Linked DNA regions of Neodiprion lecontei. The protein of the gene in region 1 binds, or shares a complex with, the protein of each later gene. Links are inferred from orthologs where the notes say so. Each region holds a gene or a part of one and is shown in the gene's direction. Other genes may lie near its edges.

Region 1 (4,651 bases):
CACATTGGACTCTACCGGTGATTCCGAATTGTTGTCAGCAACGAAAATATTCGCATTTTCGCTTATTAAATACTGCACTTCTGACCACGTTTGTGATTTGTATATCGGCACGCGAAAGTGCGCACCTGCAGCTGATCTCAGCACTTTCGGATTCCAAAGATCCACGCAGCCTAAAATTAACAGGTTTAAACATAAAGTGAATTTGAGCACAGCTTCGATTGTAGATTGGAACGAAACAATCAAGTTCATTTCTTCGGGTACGGACCTTTGGTTAAAATTACTCTCTCGCATCCGACTCCAGCCGCAACCCGAAGAATAGCTCCCAAGTTTCCGGGCTCTCTTACATTGTCGCATATCACAGTTATTGGTAACGCATCGGGAGAAGGTTCCTTGTTACTTACATCGGGAGCTACGAATATACCTAAACGAGAATCCCAGATTGTTAGTCGAGCGTTAGCCAGATGAAAACAAAATGGAAGTATTGGCAACTTACCCATAATGCCTGGGGAAACAGTCAAATCTGACCATAGCTGTATCGTTTGATATGGAAGTTTGTAAAGCTTGACACCATCTTTGGGTAGAGATATTTTGGCAATGTCAGATTTTCTGCTGAAGATAATTATCTCAGGCATACATCCGGCTTTTATGGCATCCTCGATCAATCTAAATCCCTCCAGCAGAATTCTGTTGTCATCCTTATCTTTTTTACGCGATCTTACGACTTGCATTAAAGAGCTGTAACGGCGAGTAAATTGTGAATCACAAACAAAGGCTAGAAGATAAAAAGTTATGTCTAAAACGAGATCAAGTCCAGTTGATCCGCAATGCGTACCTTATTATGGGATCGTCCCTGTCGAGTTTAGTGAAAATCGGAGTCCCGTCATTGTTCAACGTGGCACCTTCCCTCTGCTCTTCTTGAATCTTTGCGTTTTCTTTCTTGTCTTCGGCCAGCTTGAGCCGTTGTCGTCGGGCAAATGCAAACTGGGCGGTCTGCAGAATATTTTGAGGAACGGTGTGCTCCTGATCGTTGTACAGATCTTTCTCGTTAACAATTTTTGATGGCTTGCGATGAGTCCACCGACTGTAGCCTTTGACTCGTAAAAACACTTGAGCGCTAATCTGCCGCTGAGTTATTGTACTTTGAAGACACCTCATGGTGCTTTGCATTGTTGTAAACGTAAATGCCATTTTCATAACATGTGTGTGTGTCTTTCTTCTTTTCTACCGCTACACTTTCAGCGTTGATTCTAATAATTAGCTGACCGGTGTTACAATCAGCATTGAAATTATTTGAAAGAGCAACTTCAGTCCGTAATATATCCGGCACTTGTTTTTTGAATGACGCAATCGTAACTCAATTGTTTTTGCCCGTGATATGCAAAACGCCGGTTTTGAGGTTAAGCTGGAGCTCTTGTAGCAACATGCGTGCCGCCACACACCACACCATAAAAATTAAAGGAGCGTATGTGTTTTGCTTTGAAAACAGGTTAGTATCGTGGTTAATATGCAGATTGCGAATTGCGACACGTGACCGGATTCGTGAATCGTAGAGAGCAACAGAGATATTTACGCAAGCGTCGTCGTCAATCGTTCAGTCGGGAGCGTGTGTCGATTGTTTTGACACGTAAAGTGCGCTGTGTGTCGTCCAAGATGAACGTGGAGGTCGCGAAGTGAGCCGCGAGACAATGCTTAGTTAACAGTAGTTCGTTTAGTTTAATATTGTTTCTCAGTTCTGGACTCTGTGATTGCTAATCGCCGGTTTCGACACTCATCTTGGAAGACAATGGATCAATGGATAAATAATGCAGGCTGAAAATATATCCCCCTCGAACATAGCTGTCGATGAGCCTGCGGAGGTCAGGTGACCTCTTAACCCAGTGATAAATTAAACCATCGTTGTTGATGATCAGCAGCTTAAAATGAAGCTGTTCAAGTTGATCGTTCATCAGAAGAACTTTAGTGGGGAGGATTTGATTATAAATCCCAAAGATTATCCGGGAATAAAGAAAGGCGATATCGTTGAGATATTTCATCCGGAAGATGAATTCAGTCGTTTGCTTCTGCAGATCACCGCCTTCAAGGAGGATCTACAAGGCAGAGAAACCGTCAGTGTTGAAAATAACATTGCGACCACTTTTCAACTTAGAACATTCGCTGATGTTTACATGAATATTGTCAATCCCGACGATGTCGCCTTGGATTCTGTCGAGCTTACCTTCAAGGACCAATATATGGGGCGTAGTGAGATGTGGAGATTGAAAAATTGTCTGGTAATTAAAAGTCTGACTCTTTTATTGTGTATCGATAAAGTTTCCCACTAAACAAACTCCCATCTCATCGAACTTTGATTTAAAATCTTAATTTCTCTAGGTCAACACGTGCGTGTATTTAAATAAGAAGATCGAATTCTGCGGAGGAAGCATTAGGTGCCAAGTACACGAAATGTGGTCCCAGGGGGATCGAGTTGCCTGTGGCGTGATAACTGACGATACAAAGGTGAAATATCTGTAACAATTTGCTAAATCTGGCCAAGGATACAATCAAAAAGCTCTTAATTTTATAGCAATAATCGAGCTATTAAACTTGAATTCGACGAATCAATCGACATAGCTTTAACATTGATAACAATGTTCTAAATCATTGTCTTCACAATAGGTGGTCTTCCGTTCGTCGACAAGCATGGTATACCTGTTTATCCAAATGAGTTCCGAAATGTGGGACTTTGATATTCATGGAGACTTGTATTTTGAGAAAGCAGTAAATGGGTTTTTAGCTGATCTTTTTCAAAAGTGGAAGAAAAACGGTAGCAACCATGAAGTGACGATAGTTTTATTCTCACGAACATTTTATAACGCGACAAGCCTTGAAGAATTTCCCAATCACATGAGAGAGTGCTTGCAGCACGATTATCGGGGTAGATTCTACGAAGATTTTTATAGGTAATGCAAATATCAATGGCATCCACCACAAAATGCTCAATCTTAAACATCTCCAACGTGTGTTATAGAGTTGCTGTACAAAATGAGAGATACGAAGACTGGAGCAATATATTAGTTCAATTGCGAAAACTGTTTACCGATTATCAAAAAATTGTCCTCGAATATCACCAACGGCCTGGAATTGTTATGCCAAAAGCCATAAACTCAACAGCTGCTCAAGGGAATTTCTTAGAAGTTCTGAATATGTCCTTGAACGGTGAGCGATAGTTGATACTATTGACTAATAACCTGTAGATGTGTGGAAATTGAATAGCAATTTATTTCTTTCGCAAGAAGTTTATATTACGAAATTATTATGCAATGTGATGTACGATATTGTGATATGCTTTCTTTTTTAGTTTTCGAAAAACACTACCTGGATCGCAGTTTTGATCGAACCGGGCAGCTTTCTGTGGTTATCACTCCGGGGGTTGGAGTATTCGAAGTTGATAGAGAATTGACCAACGTTACTAAACAAAGAATCATTGATAATGGTGTGGGTAGTGACTTGGTTTGCGTGGGAGAACAGCCGCTGCACGCAGTTCCTTTGTTAAAGGTACTGTTCCATTATGTTGAAATCTTGAAACCAGAGTTCTTGTGTTAATTCTATTATCACATAAGAATATTTTATTATAAGACAAAATTCTTGTAGTTCCATAACAAAGATACGTCGATAAATGCTGCAGACGACTACAGCATGCCGCATTGGATAAATCTCAGTTTCTATTCGACAAACAAAAAAATACCTTACTCAACCTTCATACCTCGCATCAAGTTACCACCTAAAATATCAAAACCACCGTCAGAGTGTGGAAAATTGCCAAACAAGACAAAGCTTCTGCAGGAAGATGGCAGCGAATGTCTGCGTAATACACTGTTCGACTATGATGCCTACGATGCTCAGGTTTTCCAGTTACCACCTGTTCATACTGCTAGGTGAAACTATTTTTTTAACAATTAGTTTATAATAATTTAAATTAATTTGAAGACTTGTATTTTGTATTAAACTCGATTTGTTATTTTTTATAAATTTGTAATCTAGCTTGCAGAGAGTATCGACTAGAACAAAGAAAACTAGTGTAGCCTGCATGGAAACGCACAGCAATTCCCAGGCTCTTAAATTGTTGAAAAGAAAGATGTCGGATCCTGATATACATCATCCACCTCCCGATACTCATTCTTCCCCAACGGTTGCCTCCCGCAGTGCAGCAATTTCGATTCCTCATCGAGCGGACGATTTGATAAGTGTCAACTCTAACGGAGAAGTTAATTGTAAGATGGTATAGTTGTTACATGTCAAGTACAGAGCTAAATCGATACAATTTTCCATAGCAAAACCAAGAATATCTTTAATTGATGACCATGGAGATGTGGAGATATCACCTCCGTTCAGACCAGTCGTCGGTAGTGCTGGAAGTCCTACCAATTCCGTTACTCAACCCAACAACATTAGGCCAGGAAGAGCTCTGATCAATCCATTTGACCCGTCTCACGTAACGATAAAGTTGACAAGTAACAGGCGAAGATGGACTCACATTTTTCCGAAAGGTGGAGTATCGCGACTGCATTTACTCCGTAAGTATTTTCTTGCAATAATTTCGCGTGTCATATTTCTCAGGACCTACGGGTGTGCTTATACAACAACACCACTACCAAGCTGTGCCTACGCAGTC
Region 2 (5,982 bases), on another chromosome or scaffold:
CTCCGATCTTGACTGCAGGCTTGTCATTAATGGCTCGCAAAATACTCATTTTTCTCTGCAGTTGATCTGGACTGCAATGTAAGCTCTCCTCTCGAAATTGACGCATGCTGGCGCGTTGCAGCATGCGCTAAGAACGATATTTGATTAGAAAATAACTAGGTGTAACGATCTCGAAAGAGCCCACCATGATTTATTCGAATTCAACGAGGACGTGCGATTGCTATGACCCTTCGGTCTCAGCATTAGGCTTTCGACTACTCTTTGATAGTGTGCGGTTACTTTTGATTCTACATACCCGCGTGAACGGATCCTGTGTCGAGTCCATCCCAGACGAAACAACAACGCAACAGCGAAACACTCTTCACCGAGGATCACCAAAGAATGGTAAATTGTCTTGAAAATGCGGCAGCTCTCAGCGTTAGCGGAGTAGTTTTATTTGCACGAGCGAAATACTCTAGGAAGATAAGGAGAATAACCTCGCTAGGCCCCATGAGTCAACCGTCATCCCCTCAAGTTCAAATACATTTATTGGTATTCGAAGAGTACACTATTACGTGTAGATATAACCAAAACACGCTGCTGTATGTCAACATGCGTTAGAGGTAGATCTGGTACTATTGTGCAACACTGACCGCGAAATATGACACATGGACTGTAGCAGTTTGTGAAAACTTTTTAGAATGAATCAGTTCTTAACGATGAATGAAAAAATTTTTTTTGTTGTACAGATATTCATAAGTGAACGTGTATTTTTTCAACGAATCTCAGTGTGAAGTAATTATTTGGAATATTTATGAACAACTCGTATTATACTCAAGTCGCTGTATATAACATGAATTTTAGTGAATGTTACTTTCGAATTAAATTATTTAATTACCTTTCTCTGGTTCGATTCGGAGTCTTTGAAGAATCGAATTGACCAACTAGCCTGATAATTCCCTGATTTTGCATTTATATTCATAATAATTTTCCATGTCTCTATACAAGTGCATTTGTTGTGATGATTCAGAACTACGATGTTAGTCATAAATTATTGGTTTATTTTCTTTAGTCCGTATATGATATTGTGATATTGGAACTACAAAAGAATACGAGTTTAAGTGTTGATATCGAGCCAATACAACTTACTGATTTTACACGTTGGAGCAAACTAATTGAAAATATATTTTCCATCGTCGATGAATACAAAATCCATTTCAATTCATCATATTGAATCAACCATCTTCATTTTGCTCCTATATTTGAAAAGGCTTACTTTGATTTTGGAATCAATAGTCCGAAAAATCTTGAACCACTGTTCAAGACAATTACGTGAACAGAGAAATGTATGTTTTGTAAGAATAGCCGAATGAACAGTTTTATCGGAATTTACTAAATATTCGATTTAGCCGATAGATGAAAACAAGAGATTAACAAAGCTTCGAAAGTTTTTTCAAGTACTCATTTCTGGTTTATCTTTGAATCGAGCTGTTGGTAGAGCTAAAAAATTGTTTTAGATGGAAGTAACAAATTTTTTAAGTAAATGTTTCATGCGGACGTGTAATTTTGTGTTGCGCCTGCATATAGGCAACTGCGAGTATAAATCTCTGAAATGAAGGGCGGGTAACTGATTCGCGTAAAGCTAGGCGAAAGTATCCCATCTCAACTTGGCGTATTCTATCACGATCCTAACCTCAATCTTAAGTTTTCCTCATCCGAAATCATAACCTGTAATCTTAAAACTAGTTTTCCGTTGGAATAGGAGTAGAGTTGCAAGTACGCCAGAGGCGGAAAAAACAGCGGCGTGGTTTGTTAATATTAAATCCAAGTGATTGTTGATGATAGAGTAGAAAATGTTTGAAGCCCATAGTATAAATGCCGAACACAAGGACCTGATACATGACATAGCTTACGATTTTTATGGCCAACGCATGGCAACATGTTCCAGCGACCAGTTTGTCAAAGTGAGTAGAGCTTCCAACCGAATTTCGAATTTCTCGCTCATTTCACGCATATTCTCAACTTCATTCGCATAATCACATATTTTCTTCTCTACTCCTTCACTTTGCCAAAATTGATATTACAGCAGTATTCTCGTTCACGCTTTCATTTTGTTATGTTTTTTTCTTAGGTTTGGGACGAGGACGAACACGATAACTGGCACTTGACAGCATCATGGAAAGCACACAGCGGATCTGTGTGGAAAGTAACCTGGGCGCATCCCGAGTTTGGTCAGGTTTTGGCGACGTGTTCATTTGATAGAACTGCAGCGGTCTGGGAAGAAATTGGTATAAATTTCTGATCTTGGATTGGAAAACGATAAGCAGCAGAGCATTTGTATTGATTGTACGAATCAAATTTCAGTTGGCGAAGGTTCAGGCTCCGGTGAACGAGGGATGCGACATTGGGTGCGGCGGACCAACTTGGTCGACTCTCGGACGTCAGTAACAGATGTTAAGTTTGCGCCAAAGACTCTCGGTCTTCTCCTTGCGACCTGTAGCGCGGATGGAGTGATCAGAATTTACGAAGCACCAGATGTGATGAACCTGAGCCAGTGGACTCTGCAGCATGAAATTAGCTGTAAACTTCCATGCAGTTGTTTAACATGGAATCCTTCATTGTCGCGGTATATATAGTCAAAATTTTCTTCAATATTGCTGGAACTGAACACCTAAAAAATAAGGGGAAGTGCAGTGCTTTTCCTTTTTTTTCAGGCTCCACCCACCTATGCTCGCAGTTGGCAGCGACGACTCGAATGCATCAAGTGGCGGCAAGGTCTTCATATACGAATACTCAGAAAACAATAGACGGTGGACAAAAACAGAGACATTATCCAACGTCGTTGACCCCGTGCACGATATTGCATTCGCACCCAACTTGGGACGTAGTTTTCACACTTTAGCGATAGCCACCAAAGATGTACGGATTGTAACGCTAAAACCAATGCAGTAAGTTTCGCTAAAAGTGGGAAGAAATTGTTTTTAAGAAAATACTCTCGCATGATGATTGGCATTGAAAAATTCAAAAAAATTGCTCCTCAAGTGTTCTTTTTTCTCCTCAGAGATGCGGCTCAAAGCGGTTTGTCTCGGTTTGAAATTACGACTGCTGCCCAATTTGATGATCACTATTGTACGGTGTGGCGAGTGTGCTGGAACATAATGGGAACCATATTAGCGAGTTCAGGAGATGACGGCTGCGTTCGTTTATGGAAAGATAATTACGTGAATAATTGGAAATGTGTAGCAGTTTTGAAGGGAGATGGAACCTCGGCTCACAGTGCCGAAATTCCACAGATAGCAACACCTCCGAGTCACTCGATCTCAGGAACTCAGGCACCGCTATCCACCACAAGGTACTACAAGCTGGGTTCCATCAGTCATCCTAATCAAGTACCATGGCACTAATTGAGAACGATTAATATTTCCGTTTTGAATTATGTAATATAATTTATACATCATTACTTTTCTCTCACATTTGATCGATTGAGAACAGATTAGCGAGTAACGATTTGTGATCTTAAAATTTTCACCGCTTTACGTAATCATCCTTTCTTTTTCTCGTATCTCCTCATCAATTTTTTAGCAACAGATTTGATCATAAAGAATTGAAGAAATAAATCAATAGTCAATACGTCGTAAAAACGATCTGTTTGGATTAAATCACTTCTGTATTAAAATGGAGAAGTCTCTTTTCTCTTCCCCTTGTTTACGCACAGTTTTACACCAAAGTATTTAATTTATTTGAGATGTATAAAAATATCATTTTACACTTTACGTCAATAAGTTCCTTTACATCAGATCATAATGTCCGTTCTCAGTTTTGGAGCCATGTAAGTTTATCACAATTATTTAGCATTTAATGCATTCGATATTTGTATTGTAATGTGAGCCCAGTTTTTAATAAATATTATTCCTATAGACCCGAGCACCTTTTTATTTTCTCCTGTAACCCATCTTGCAATTTCTTTATTTTTCCTAAAACAGACGGCCAAATTTACTTACATCGAAATTTAGGAACGGGTGAGAGGGATAACATTTATTATAACCGTTGAATGTAAATTAAATCCATGAATTCTACATATCTGCGAATTTAAGACAAGTTACCAAACACTTAAAATCTGGACGAAGTAGGTAACTTACACATTTGAAGTTTAAATTTCAGAAGAAGATTTCAAAGTTTCGTCATTTATGATTCGTTTCATAATTCGATGTATCTTTTTGTCGTTTCAGGAATATATCTATAGCCACGGTTACGGCGGAGAGACCAACGACGACAATATTATCGACTAGTAAGTGGCAAGCCCCTGTAATAAAAGGCCGTTTCAGCAAGTCTGTATGGCTTGGAAATCCAAGCGAACCGTCACTCCCCCCTCCTCCGATCATAGAACGCCCAAAATCGAAGAAGTAAATTTTTAAATGTGTCTTTCGTGCGAGTCATTGATAACTTACTACGTTTGCTAATTAATTGGTCGATTTGACAACGGAGCAGATTAATTATACTTTAGTAAAATTTTACTAATTTATCGACTGATTTATACACGCAGACTGGATTTCTGTCGCCTTAAGAGCTTCGGATAAATGTGATATTTAAAATGATATTATATCATACTTGGTTACGACGATATGAGACAATCGTTATACTTGAAATATCTTTATTGAAACAAATAATACTAATGATAATTTTTTAATTAACTCACCGTACTCGTACGTTAATATTTGACATTTTGAAACAGTATTAGACACTACTGTGTATTTATACTTATTGGAATTTTATACTTTTGTTGCTTAGAAGAAGAAAAAAAAACAGAACAATTCTCATTCGCTGGCAATACAAAATAACAGGATTACAATCGAATAACTCACATGTATATGATAGACAATGATCGCTGCAGGATATATTTGTTGAGTATTTGTTCAAAGTATAATATTGCAGTATTAAGGAAAGCAAAATTTTTTCAATGGCTTTTAGCAGCTGTATAAAAATCGTATAATCATTAGGGTATACCGCATACGGTATTAACTTTTATTTCCTTTCGGTGATACTTTCTTACCTAATACGTATAATTAAACCCATTTTTTATTCATTTAGCTCCAGCGATATTATATTATACTCAGTCGGTTACTTATTTTTTCCATTCAAAAACAACTAAATTCCTATCTTTTCTTGTATAGACATGTTTATGTATATGTATAGGTATATTGTTCAAAAACTCGCGTTGTACTTATAATATGAAAATAAATTTTCTTTGGTATACTCGGTTAGGAAAATATTTGTCATTGTCTCTCGTTCCTTCCGATTCTGTTTTTATTTCACTTTCTTTTTAATGGATTGCCGAAGAACATGACGCAGTTATTCAAACGCTATCAATTTATTCATTTTCTATACCTATGTACACGTGTTCTGCGTCGTTAAATTTTCCATCCTTCCAACACTTGAGTTTCTTCGAGATGAGAAGTGCATACACAATTAATATAGACCTATGTATAATAAATACCGTATAAACAACGTTGGTGAATGTCCAAATGAAATAATATGTAAATTGAGTCAATTTTAGTATTTTTTTTTTTCTTGTCAATTTCATAAATCTTTACAGAATTCAAGCAATAATCTCTATGTACAATTATCAGTTCACGAGCTCGGAAGCAAATTGAAAACACTTGGCATTTCGAATTCAACATTTTTAAATTCTCGTATCTTCTACTCAGATGCTGCCAATCAAAAATTGAATCGCAACTCATGATTTCTATTACCAATATAACAAAGAGAAAAAAAAAAAAAAATGTAGAAAAATATAAAGTTTTTTCCTTAACCATACTTTTGCTCAGACAATTTAATTCGAATTTTCGATGTCTAATTTACTTCCAATATTCTGTATTTTTTTTATTCTAGCTTGAGTTTCTTCACATTATTGCGATGAATAAAAAAAAAACATCATTAGGTCCTGTTTATCCAAACAGGAAGTCACGCTAGACCTACAACAATAGATCAAAGAAAACATCTGTG
Region 3 (7,251 bases), on another chromosome or scaffold:
ATATTGTGCAACAAGATAGGATCATTTGTGCTGTGAAACTATTGATTACTTGCAGTCTATAACAAAAATAGATTATGTTTCAACTTCGTTATTAGCAACTGACAATCACACAATGATTTTGAGGAAATTGGATCATAAGGTCTAAAAGAAATTTATCAACCCTTTTTTGGCCTTTCTTAACACAAAATTATGGGAAAGTGAAAGTGAAAACAAAATTTATACCCTAAAAGATCAAGTAAACAATATCCACAGCTACTTGATTGTTACTTTAAAATATTCCAAACTATTTCCCAGCCGTCAGAAAGCTGGGGTTCATTGCTGGATGGAAAGTTTTCTTATCATGATTGGTACTACTATCATGTTATTCAGAAAAGGACTGCAACGAAGTGTTTGTTACTCTATGCTGACCAACACTCTCAAAAATGTCATTTCAGATAAAGTTCCCGCCAACGTATTCATGTTTGGCATTATAAAAATCGATACAAAACAGTTTCTTTCGATTGTTAAGTTGAATAGTAACCTATTTACATTACACAGTGTTATACATTCGTTCCAAATGACTGAAATCAACTGAACCTTGTACTTCTTCAAATCTAATTAAAGTTTGAATGATAGCCTGATAAGGGGCTGAAGAAATCACCCACATACCTCGTCGTACATGAACTGTAGAGTCAGGGCGGACTTTCCAACACCTCCGCTACCTACCATTATGACCTTATGAAGGGCCTGTGTGGCGCCTGGTTTTTTAGACATTTTTGTATGTGGAATTTATATCTGAAATATTAATATCAGAATGTAAATGACTGAAATTTGCACATTTAATAATATGTAATTGTTGATTGATTACGCGCATGTAGAACAGAATTTCTCATTATCTGGAGGAAAAAACTCAATACTTTATAAGCTACATGAACTACGCCTCCATTACTATAATAGAGATCTGAAAGATATGGAAATCCTATTGTCAGCATGGGAACCATGGGAGTAAGGTGAACAAATGTTTACGTTTCTCGCATGCACTCAACACTCATTATTGTTGTTGTGTTTGATAATTTTTCTACTAATAAATAAAGACTTTACATTTATGTAAAATATGGGAATTTTCTTAATGTTGATTAATTAGGACACTGAAAATTTTCCTGTCTTCTCCTCTGAGATGTAAATGGAAATTTTACCAATTTTATCGCTGTCAATTGTGTAATATTTAACTATGAATATATGTAAAAACAATCAAACCACAACTACGATATTACGACATACTGTTAAATAATGGTCATCTATTAGAAAGTTTACAAATAATACATTGTTGATACGCGTATCTAATCGACTTTAATCTTGACGGAAAAATGAAACATTGTAATGAGGTTTAGTTGTAACAATGTGACATTGTTGTTTGAAAATAGTTACTGCATCAAATTTGTTGAAACCATTATTACGCATTTAACACCAATTAGTACAGACTTGGAAATTACTTCGATCTCACAATAAAACATCAAGATTAAGGGCGTATTCGTAGGATGAATAACCAAAAGGCGTTGCCGCGCTGTCGGGTGCTAGTTACCAGAGGAAGTCAATATTCGTGTTTCATATATGGCAATGTTTCCAATTTATGAAAGTGTACCGTTATTTTACGGATGCAGGTTTAATCGGCGAATCTCTTGGGGGTATGATTGCAAAAATAACAACAGAAAAATGATTAATTACCTTCAAAAATCGGTCAATCGCAAAGCCCGACGTATCGAACGCTCGCATCCGTGATCCGTCACGCGCTGGTTCTTTATCGAGCCGTTAAAGCGCCAACACATGGCGCTGCTGAGTGTTGAAAGTCGTCTGCTTCTGTCACTCGATCTGTCACCGACTCAGTTTCGGTGCTTTCCCAAAATTCAAAGCTATTGATTATCCCACAGAATATGCTCACAGTTAACTACTTTCAGATGTTGTGGTGAAGTAAAATATTTGATTCAAATTTTCTTCACCGCTCTTCACTAGCAGAATTATCACTTTTCGAAAACGACTTTTCGCTTGCGAAATAGTTTCGCGCACGCGCAGATCGCTATTTGGATGCGCTAATGGACAAATACGGCGCAACAAATTGCGTTGAGGCTATGTTGTCCCGAAATCGGTAGATTCACTGTGATTGTTTTTTTACGCTATTTATCGGATTGTTCAAACGTATAATGGAACCAATTTTGGACGTGCAATAGCCGCCACAATTTACTGTCGGAAAACAAATGTTCCGCCGGTGATAGAGGTTTAGTTTTTACATCATTAATTATCGGAGAAACATATTTTACTAATGTAAACAACACGACCTGGTAGTACACGGATTTTAAATTAACCTACAATATTATTTGACAATGAGTAGCGTTAAGTTAGAAGTTCAGTGGTCATCGATACACCCAAATAAATTCATTACTTGGGGCACCGAAATATGTTTATACGAAGTTACCCAAATCAAAGATAGTGTCAGGCCTTCTTGTGAGTAGAGACCCAAAGCCTATTACAAAACACGTATTGTTGTTATTTCTTGAATATCGCTTTGTTGGGTGTTTATATTTTATTAACAAAAGAATTATTTGCAGGTATTAAGATCTCTGACTCTACAGTCGCCCATTTATTGGCAACGAACACAAACCATCACTATGTTAAATGCATTGATATTTACACCCAACCTGAGCCTGACATTCTATTGGCAGTTGGGCAAGCGAATGGTAAAGTTGTACTAACTACTTTTGGCCCAACGGCATTCGACTCTCTTGGACTTACTGGCAAGGAACTTGGTAAATGAAATTCACCAATAATTGTTCTGGAAGTTGTATTCATTTTCTTCTCTTTTTAAGTTATACGGTATAATATTTTAGCTTGCTTTTTTCTTCTAATCATATCCGTGATCACTTTGCTAGCTCCGAGGCATGCAAGGCAATGCAATACGGTTGCATGGAATCCGGTAGACCCAAATTTAATAATTTGTGGCTTGGATAAGCACAGAACGGATTCTTCCGTTTTATTATGGGATGTCCTGAAAAGTCCAACTGGATCGCATCACCACAGTAACATGCAGGCAGAATCTGTCAGACCTATAGCAGAGGCTGGAGTCTCTGAAACAGCACATTCCCTCGCTTGGTTCCTTAACGAACCAAGATGTTTGGTTGTTGGAATCAATAACAAACATTTAAAGATTATTGATTTTCGAGGTAAGACATTATGGTACTGGTGGTTATTAATTAATTTATTGCCAATGAAGGATAATTGGAACTTCTGCCTTTTATTTGTGTTGATTCAAACATCTTTTTGTATTAATCATCTGTTTAGATTGTGTGAAGGTAGTGAACTCAACGCCAACAAAAGCAGTGTACAGTTTGTCAGTAGATCCTCATAACAATTATCACTTAGTTTCCCATATTGAAAATCAAATTCTTATATGGGACACTCGTTACTTTGAAAAACCGATATTAACCCTACCGCAGAGCAGACAAGTGACTAAAGTACTATGGTGTCCTTCAAGGCATAACCTGCTGGGATCTCTGCAGAAAGACTCTGGTACAGTGAGATTTATCATACTTAAATTGCTAAATGAAACAAAGTGGTTCAACTTGTTCATTAATGGTGAAATGTATTTTCATTAATCATTGACCACACAGGATCTTTGCATCTTCACGATGTACAGCATTGTGGGCTTGGTGGCGGCGAGGAAACAGAGCCAGGCGCTTTAGAAAGAACTGTCGCCCCACCATGGTCTAGTCCTACAAGTTTTTCATGGCATCCGACTCACGCGAATAGATTGTTGGCTATATCGCAACAAGGTGTGTGCAGTTGATTTTTTTTTGTTTTCGTATCTCTTACGTATTACCATGGAGTACGAGGGGACGAATTTTCCATACATGGTCGCAAATATAAGTCTATTGTACAGTTTCGTTTTCTTTCAAGCTAGGTGTAATGCTCGATTTAGAACTAATGCAGCTTATAATTATACATCATTACTATTCCTAAGTTATTTGCATATTTCAGGTTTGACGGACTACACTGTTTTTGAAAGAATTACTATCAACTGGTCAACTAAGTCATATCTAGCATGGAACCATGCTTCAAAATCATTCAAATACATTTATAGCACCGACAACATATACAAATCCTTGAACGATATTTCACTGCAAACGAAAAGTCGAGCCATGCGAGACTACGGCCTTCTGGTTAGTATAGGATGATTGTAACATGGACTTGTTAAAACTACAAATCTTCATATAGAACGATTTAAGAGAATTAATTCTGATATATTTAAAATTGTAATAATTAATTATATTTTTCACTAAGGCCGAACTATCGCAAAATGGAGAGCTAGCTGAAAATGAGACCCTGAAAAATTTATGGCAATGGCTGTATTTGAGTCGTTCTTTAGTGGAAGATGGAACAATATGTAGTCCAGACAATAAGCACCCAGGTGTCAGGTAAACTGATATTTTCTTTGGCTTATAGCCGTACTGTTAGATGCTCTGATAATTACTTTGTAACTCTCCATAGAACTGTTCTGAAACTTGATGGACAGCCGACTTCTACTAACGGTTTCATTAAGTCTGAATTAGTGCTTCGACTGTGGGCTGACATTGGGTCAAATCACAGTGCTAAAATATACAGGTAAAGAAAAACCAGGTGTCATAATTCCGAAAATATGAATTATGTGTTTGCTCGATACACTTTAAGCTTATGAAGTACAAAAACAAAAATATTCTTTATCAACGAAATGATTCATCGAACAATATCCTCTATTATGCTAACAATAAGTATCTTTGATTTGCCAAAAATAAATGTTTATCACAGGTCACCTGACCGAGATAAAGCACTTCAATTGTGTGGTTGGAGATTTGATAAAGAAACGAACGCGCCTTATAATAATGCATTTTTGGAAAGACTAGAGAGGGAAGGAGCTTATCCTAGAGCTGCAGCCATCTCTGTTTTCAATCTTGGACTGAGGCAAGCCATAGAAATATTGAATAGAGGGGCGGACAAAATGTCACTAGCAACAAATTTAAATATCGTTGCTATGGCTTTGTCAGGCTTCTCTGAAGATAGAAATAGTATGTGGCGGGAGCTTTGCTTAAAATCTAGATCTCAATTAACTGACCCATATCTCAGAGCAACATTTGCATTCCTCACTGCTGACAATGATTCGTATGAAAATGTTTTGGTGAGTAAAGTAATTTTTACGATTTATTTGTTAGATGACCGTAGAATCTTTTATGATGAATTACTGAATATTTCTCACTGCAAAAATGAAATGGATAGATGTGGAAAAGTTTCATTCGTCTGTAATAATCGTCACTAATCTATGTTTTCAGAATGAGAATGGAATGGCTGTTGAGGATAGAGTGGCATTTGCGCTCATGTTTCTATCTGATAGTAAATTACATGAATATTTCAAAAAATTGACTCAAAAATTAACTGATGACGGTAACTTAGCCGGGATTCTGATTACTGGTTAGTAATTAAACGAGTGTTGAAAATTAATTTCAAAAAACTAAATTTAAAATGCTTTGAACTGTATGTGCCACTTCAGGGGCTAGTTCAGACGGGATACAGTTACTAAATAGGTACTTAGAAATCACTGGTGATGTCCAAAGTTGCAGCCTAATCGCCATTCGAGCTCTGTCACCGAAATTGCTTCAGGACAATCAAGTTCAAGTTTGGATTGCAAGGTAGTCTATCTTGTAGTTAGTAACACGAAGAAAATACGACTTTTTGTTAGAGAATAATGAATCGCCTAACCAGAATCAACTGTTCTGCAGCTATAGAACGCTTTTGGATGCTTGGAAAATGTGGAATCAAAGAGCACATTTTGATATAGCGATGCGAACTTCAACGAATGAGAAACCTCCACAACAAGTATACATATCTTGCAATTTCTGTGGCAAAAGTATTTCGGCTTATATGCAGGGGTTAAGCAGAGCTAGAGGACCATTTGCCAGGCTTGGGAGTACGTCCAACAAATTGAAGGTAAAAGTTTAGTTCACAATTTCGGTGTTTGTGTAATCCCCGTAAATTTCTTGCAAAAACCAACGTGGCTTGTGATTTCTTTGTAGATGTCTTCGTGTCCTAGCTGTCGCAAACCTCTACCCCGCTGTGCGATCTGTCTCATGCACATGGGTACAGCCAGTGGTTTACAAACAGGAGGGACCACACCAAATAGAGGGGAGGAGGATAGTAAACTAACGGAATTTAGTAGTTGGTTTACTTGGTGTCAAACGTGCAGACATGGTGGACACGCCAACCACATCACGCACTGGTTTAGGTGAATTTTTACAATGTAAATTTAGTTGAATTGTTGTACATTGAAAAAATCAGTTTATTCATCAAAATCGGTGAGTGGCACACGTGGTTCCAATCATTTATTACATCGAACAAAATGCATGGAGTGGAATTTTAGAGAGAAAGTTTTTTTTGCATTGCTCTAAACAGACAAATTATATTTCAGAGAGCATTCGGAATGCCCTGTAACATCTTGTACGTGCAGATGCTTTTCACTAGATGCATCTTGCAAGATCGGAGTTGGGGTTGTATAATCTTTCTACCATAATTTTAAATTGTAATAAACGATTATTTAATAGTATTTCGTTCACCAATTATACTTATTTCTTTCACTTAATTATCATTTAGAACATTTCTAAGCCTTAAAGATTGAGCTTCAACTTCAGCGAAGTATACTGAAAAAAGTCAGAATATTCGAATGTGTTGAAGGTGATATACTTGACAGCGAAAAAGAAAATTTATATTAGTAGGGCGTGAGAAAGTTAAAATTTCATAAAATGGTATTCGTTTCAGACATTTTCCATTTGTTGCTACCCAATGTATTGGAGAGTAAGATGAGGTCATTGTACTGTTCCGAGTCTGAAAAAATTTCAACTTATATTCTTTTTTTCAAGTTATGAACAACTAGAGAATTTCCATTGTACTTTTTCAATGCCAAAAGATAAAATAACGTCAAGCAAAATCATATACAATAGCATAGACATACATCAGGAGTAGATTCTAAGAAATGATGTATCTGTGATAATTTACCAAATTTTTCCGTCATCTCATTTGGGAAGCGAACGAAGTTGCTACAGGAGATGGATGACTTAGACTGTACAGTACCATGAACTTCGATGTAACCTTCTAGGTGGCTGTCGATGGGTTCCGAAAGAGAAACTGTGATAATCATATTGTCACTGGTTTTTAACTCCATACTTGTTCCGCTAGGATTTATCTGAAATAAGAGAT
Region 4 (5,039 bases), on another chromosome or scaffold:
TCACCAATTACCGATTAAGTATTGAAATACACCGGACAACGGGCATTCTGTCGCTCTAGTCGAACGAACCGAAGAGGGAGAAATTGTTGGATAAAAGATTTAATTTGGCTTACCTTTTTGAGAGTATTCTGGATGCGATGACTTGTAGATTGGTGAGAGGTCTTAGTGGAATAACTGACTTTAATATTTGGATATTTTGACTAACTTGGTTTATTTTATAAGTTTGATATTTAAAAGTCACAAACGCAGAGTTACACAGTGTAAGATCTTAGACTTAGTAAAAATGGAGTTGAAGCTCGCTGAACTTTTGGGCAGAGTAACGTTGTATGAAAGTTTTAATGCAAAAGGCTAAAGGATTTTACCGCGAGACTGTACCGGAACTAGATGACGAATCTGGAGGTAGAAACACAAGAGAGCGATCGAGTGATCGGTCGCCGTTTTTATAGGGGTCGATCGTTGCGCAGAACGATCCCCCTCTCTAGTTTTTTGGTCGCCTTTGCGCACCTCCCCTCTTTTCTAGGAATTCTAATTAGGGCACGACATCTTCGCCGCATGCACGCCTGTGATCTTAGTTCTTTAGCTATTACTATATTGTAGGTTTTTACGTATGGTATATCGCTGCTTGGTGCGGTGGTGTAGGTGCGTGGACTTTGTTCCGTAGTTCTCTGAACTGCGTGAGCTTTTCGTTGAGGCGCCAGCCCCCTTTGTGGCGCCAGCCCCCTTTGTGGCGCCAGCCCCCTTTGTGGCGCCAGCCCCTTTGTGGCGCCCGTCAGCCACTTAACTACCTGTCTACCTCTGAATGTTTTTGCTATCTTGCTCGTTACAAAGCCCATATTTCATTTTGGTTACCTGTCGTTTGTTAGTTTTATAGTTATATCTATATAGAATTGTATATGTATTATAGTCGACTACTGTCGTTGTTAGTTTTATAGTTGTATCTATATAGAATTGCATATGTATTAAAGTCGACTACTGTCGTTGTTAATCTGGAGTACAATAGCAATTGTTTATGAACATAGTTTGTTATTTGTTTAGCATTATTAGAATCACGCTGCTGCGAATATCTTTAGTTGTTTGTGTTATAACTATCTTAACAGATTTAGGGTACTTAGTAATTTGATGATTCATAGCTTTAGAGCAGGTTTACATGTGTGCTTTTGTATATGATTCCCTTCTGTAGTTGTTAATTCTTATATTGATATAAATCGGCTTGGAAGCTTCTAGAACGTTTTCGTTTCGTCGGTAAGTTTCCTAATGTATTCTCTAGGTGAAGCTCTGTTGGCTCCACATTGGAGATCTGCATTGCCTTCAAAACGTTGCGCGTGTTGCCTACAATACGGCGTTGCGAAAGAAGGTATAGTTCATGCTGGGTAATTAGCATTCACGGTTTGATGGTTTTGCAGTCTCTGGTTTTATGGGTTATTGCAGCAGTGCTATCTTTACATTATATTGGTTATGCATTTATCTATGGTTTTACAGTCTTCTATACTCCAGGCTATATAGTAAAGCGTATGTTGCTTAAGTATAGCTCTCAGCTCCGAATGCACAAATGGCATTGTTGAGTGCTATATAATAATTGGGTATAATTGTGTTAGTTAATTATAGTGTTAATATGATAGTGATATATAATAACGTATAATAGTATTATAGTTCTCTGTGGTACGAAGATCTCGTAACATGGTTTTTAAGCCTTGGCTAGTGAATTTCATAGTTATTTCCATCTAGGGATATTCCAAATAGTTAGACAGTTGTTTTAATTTCTTATGGTTACAAGATTCTCGTACTTCGAGTTTGGTTAGTTGATAAAAGTAACATGCAGTAATAATAGTCGATAAAACATACGGACGTTCCGGTCGGACGTTACACTGGGTTGACACAACTCTCTGCATTCGCTATTTCTCGTGTCAAGTATCACCATCTATGAGTATTACACGCTATTCGTCGATGACTACCGAACTTTGCCTCTAGAGGCGGTAGTGGGGAGGAACCAAAGTAGGTGTGTTCGTCACACACGGAATGCACGTGGTAAAACCACCGTTACAACAAGCACATGGATCTAAATATCGGAACGCACTCGGTGCTGTCGTCAGTCGGATCTAGCAGAATAGGCCAATGAAATTAGTCAGTGTCGTGTTTTGTCAGAAAATTGACGTAAAAGGCAAGCGCTCATTAACTTAGGCCGGTATTCATAGTCAGTGCTTAAGACCGGACTCGAATAAGACGGTCTTATACGAGGCCTTAAGATGGCGTTTGGTTCCATAGACGTCAAACAAGACGGTCTTGAGACGCGGCAAATAAGACGGTCTTCATCAAGTCGGTCTTATTTGAAGCGTGCTTACAAGGTTGCATAGTCCAGTCTTATTTGAAATAAGCATGGTCTTGAGCACGCAACGTTTCATAGTCAATTAACGCAGTCTTATTTACGTATCTTGGGCCGGTATTCATAGTCAGTGCTTAAGACCGGACTCGAATAAGACGGTCTTATACGAGGCCTTAAGATGGCGTTTGGTTCCATAGACGTCAAACAAGACGGTCTTGAGACGCGGCAAATAAGACGGTCTTCATCAAGTCGGTCTTATTCGAAGCGTGCTTACAAGGTTGCATAGTCCAGTCTTATTTGAAATAAGCATGGTCTTGAGCACGCAACGTTTCATAGTCAATTAACGCAGTCTTATTTACGTATCTTGATCAAGTCGAGTTCGGACTGCACTTAAGCAAATGCTTGTTGCCTAAATATTACTCAATTGTTCTGATGCGTACGAAATTGATAATTACGAATTGTTTGGAAAATATTATATTCGAACAATATAAATTAACAGGAATAGATTGTGAAGGAATGTTTGGGAAAGTGCAGCTGGGACGGGATTATTTACTGTAAAAGGGTAGCAACGGAAACTTGCAATTGAAGTAGAGGTTATGAGAGCATTCGCTTTGAAAAATTTGTGAAGTGAAGTGAATAGTGAAATTCTACTGACATGGCGAATATGCAAGATATGTTTAATTTCTACGATCAGATCGAAGAAATGAATAATATGATTGTTCAATGGTCAACGTTGGGCCGAATGACGAAGACGAGGGTGAAGTACAGCGAGCTCCGAAGAGATACATCAGAGATGGTCAAAACCCGTTCGAGTTTTATTCCGAGCAGGAGTTCAAACGGCGATTCCGATTTTCAAAGGATGGTATTATGTACGGAATACTACCTAGAATTGAAGCTGCCTTAGTCAGTGCCAATAATCGTGGTCTACCAATTCCACCTGTCATGCAATTATTAATATGTCTACGATTTTACGCTACCGCTAGCTTTCAAGTAAGGATCATTGTGATTATAATTCCTGATATTCTACTGAAAATATAAAGTGATTTCATTGCTTCCTGTGATCATGGAATAAATGATTGCTAATACATTTTGTACTGTACAGCTCGTCAACGGAGATCTGATGACTATATCGCAGTCTACAGTATCGAGGATAATACACAGAGTATCGGCTCAAATTGCATCATTGATTCACGCAATTATCAAATTTCCTAGTACGGAAGCTGCTATGATCGCAAACAGAGATCTATTCAGACAACTTGGTGCACGCAGGGAGGGTATCGGTTTACCTGGCGTTGATGGCGCTATCGACTGCACTCACATTCGATTATGTCATACGAAATTTGCAGACCTGCAGGAGGTTTATAGGAATCGTAAGGGATATTTTTCCCTCAATGTACAGGTATGTCGCGTTGGTGATAACCGTTTACAAATACCATAAGTTGCAATTAATTTTATCTAGGATACAAATAAACAATACTATTCTATGAAAATCGGTACTTTTAATTTAAATGATACCACAGGCAGTTGTCGGACCCAATATGGAATTCTTGGATGTGGTTCCGGAATGGCCTGGAAGTAACCATGACAGTCAAATATTCCAAAATTCACGAATTTACATGCGGTATCATGAGAGACAACTTACTGGAACCCTGGTTGGAGATGCCGGCTATCCGTGCTTGCCATTTCTGCTGACTCCACTGGCAAATCCAATTACAGATGCTCAACAAAGGTAAGATAAAGATTATCGCATTACTTTAGATTTCGATAAGTAGTCATAAAATTGACAAAGTATACATGTGTGAATTAACCAAGTCGGTATCTTGATAGGTATAACAACGTACAAAGCAGAACAAGGCAAATTGTTGAAAGAACATTTGGAGTTTGGAAGCGACGTTTTCCTTGCCTATCCCGAGGTTTGGGAACCAAATTGTTGTGCTCTACCACAATTGTTGTAGCTTGTGCCGTACTACACAATTTATCACTAACATTGGATAATGCTCTTCCGGAAGATAATCGCATCGAGGAAGAAGAAGCGGATGAATTGCCACTTCAAGCACCGCATTGGCAGCCTGGAGAGGGTTTTGCAATACGCGAAGCTCTAATCGAACGGTTATTCATTTAATCAAAATATATGTATATCAAGTTAATTTAATTGTAAAGACTAATTGATTTTAGAATGAATATACTCCAAATATTTAATAAAATTGAATTTAATCTGTACAAACAGTTAACATTAGAATACATATTTTACTCATAACTTATCATTGGTTCTCATTTTATTTTTAAACCCCTCACTTACTCATGAAAATACTGATATGTACGTAATTGTACTAAGCGTCAGTCTTATAGTTACGATAATACTTATGAAAATTTGTCTACGTAAAAATATTCAGTACATTATAAATACAGCCAGTAAATAGAACTAAAGTTGCTCTTTTGAACTTTGAAGATCAAAGGTTGTCCCTTTCACGCGCATTTTTTTGCAAGTCTGCACCGGGATTCCTTTTAACATATCAATACAATTTATTTATCAGTAACCGGTATAGAGATTTACATAATGATATAGGTTAAAATATGTGTATATAAAAATTATATACACATAAACATACACTATAAAATTCTTTTTCTTCTTCTTCGTTTTATAGCTATACACCCACTACAAAAAATTGTATGCGATTTGTTCCCGTTTTTTAGTTCCTCTACGTGGCGCTAACGTTGT

Evidence for each region.
Region 2: GATOR complex protein Iml1 (region 1) and nucleoporin SEH1-A share a complex: the UniProt entries of both Drosophila melanogaster proteins name them as parts of the GATOR complex. The link is inferred for Neodiprion lecontei from reciprocal best matches to the Drosophila melanogaster genes Iml1 and Nup44A.
Region 3: GATOR complex protein Iml1 (region 1) and GATOR complex protein MIOS share a complex: the UniProt entries of both Drosophila melanogaster proteins name them as parts of the GATOR complex. The link is inferred for Neodiprion lecontei from reciprocal best matches to the Drosophila melanogaster genes Iml1 and mio.
Region 4: GATOR complex protein Iml1 (region 1) and GATOR complex protein NPRL2 share a complex: the UniProt entries of both Drosophila melanogaster proteins name them as parts of the GATOR complex. The link is inferred for Neodiprion lecontei from reciprocal best matches to the Drosophila melanogaster genes Iml1 and Nprl2.

What each region holds. Positions count from the first base shown.
Region 1 is NC_060263.1:5,519,302-5,523,952, reverse strand, and holds the start of GATOR complex protein Iml1, read left to right. Parts: upstream 1-1,617; 5' UTR 1,618-1,919; coding exon 1,920-2,270; intron 2,271-2,370; coding exon 2,371-2,496; intron 2,497-2,655; coding exon 2,656-2,939; intron 2,940-3,007; coding exon 3,008-3,195; intron 3,196-3,337; coding exon 3,338-3,534; intron 3,535-3,630; coding exon 3,631-3,914; intron 3,915-4,020; coding exon 4,021-4,250; intron 4,251-4,310; coding exon 4,311-4,526; intron 4,527-4,596; coding exon 4,597-4,651. Other genes in the region: rRNA methyltransferase 3, mitochondrial, read right to left, coding at 1-170, 266-421, 494-735, 833-1,194. UniProt on the Drosophila melanogaster protein: An essential component of the GATOR subcomplex GATOR1 which functions as an inhibitor of the amino acid-sensing branch of the TORC1 signaling pathway.
Region 2 is NC_060260.1:39,269,447-39,275,428, forward strand, and holds nucleoporin SEH1-A, read left to right. Parts: upstream 1-1,658; 5' UTR 1,659-1,832; coding exon 1,833-1,943; intron 1,944-2,110; coding exon 2,111-2,267; intron 2,268-2,343; coding exon 2,344-2,605; intron 2,606-2,693; coding exon 2,694-2,927; intron 2,928-3,040; coding exon 3,041-3,331; coding exon of another isoform or gene 3,332-3,383; exon of another isoform or gene 3,384-3,898; intron 3,899-4,208; coding exon 4,209-4,386; 3' UTR 4,387-5,476; downstream 5,477-5,982. Other genes in the region: anillin-like protein 1, read right to left, coding at 1-127, 296-325. UniProt on the Drosophila melanogaster protein: Probable component of the nuclear pore complex (NPC). Involved in maintaining the localization of another nucleoporin Mgtor to the nuclear envelope of early meiotic female germline cells.
Region 3 is NC_060261.1:40,160,272-40,167,522, forward strand, and holds GATOR complex protein MIOS, read left to right. Parts: upstream 1-1,987; 5' UTR 1,988-2,357; coding exon 2,358-2,478; intron 2,479-2,582; coding exon 2,583-2,780; intron 2,781-2,903; coding exon 2,904-3,194; intron 3,195-3,312; coding exon 3,313-3,540; intron 3,541-3,641; coding exon 3,642-3,803; intron 3,804-4,008; coding exon 4,009-4,190; intron 4,191-4,311; coding exon 4,312-4,445; intron 4,446-4,518; coding exon 4,519-4,632; intron 4,633-4,815; coding exon 4,816-5,182; intron 5,183-5,333; coding exon 5,334-5,472; intron 5,473-5,551; coding exon 5,552-5,690; intron 5,691-5,780; coding exon 5,781-5,988; intron 5,989-6,074; coding exon 6,075-6,283; intron 6,284-6,319; exon of another isoform or gene 6,320-6,466; coding exon 6,467-6,554; 3' UTR 6,555-6,738; downstream 6,739-7,251. Other genes in the region: ras-related protein Ral-a, read right to left, coding at 649-753; replication protein A 14 kDa subunit, read right to left, coding at 6,791-6,879, 7,051-7,237. UniProt on the Drosophila melanogaster protein: An essential component of the GATOR subcomplex GATOR2 which functions as an activator of the amino acid-sensing branch of the mTORC1 signaling pathway.
Region 4 is NC_060264.1:242,724-247,762, forward strand, and holds the start of GATOR complex protein NPRL2, read left to right. Parts: upstream 1-1,996; 5' UTR 1,997-2,121; intron 2,122-2,199; exon of another isoform or gene 2,200-3,043; coding exon of another isoform or gene 3,044-3,310; intron 3,311-3,422; coding exon of another isoform or gene 3,423-3,719; intron 3,720-3,840; coding exon of another isoform or gene 3,841-4,049; intron 4,050-4,147; coding exon of another isoform or gene 4,148-4,442; exon of another isoform or gene 4,443-4,822; intron 4,823-5,039. Other genes in the region: putative nuclease HARBI1, read left to right, coding at 3,044-3,310, 3,423-3,719, 3,841-4,049, 4,148-4,442. UniProt on the Drosophila melanogaster protein: An essential component of the GATOR subcomplex GATOR1 which functions as an inhibitor of the amino acid-sensing branch of the TORC1 signaling pathway.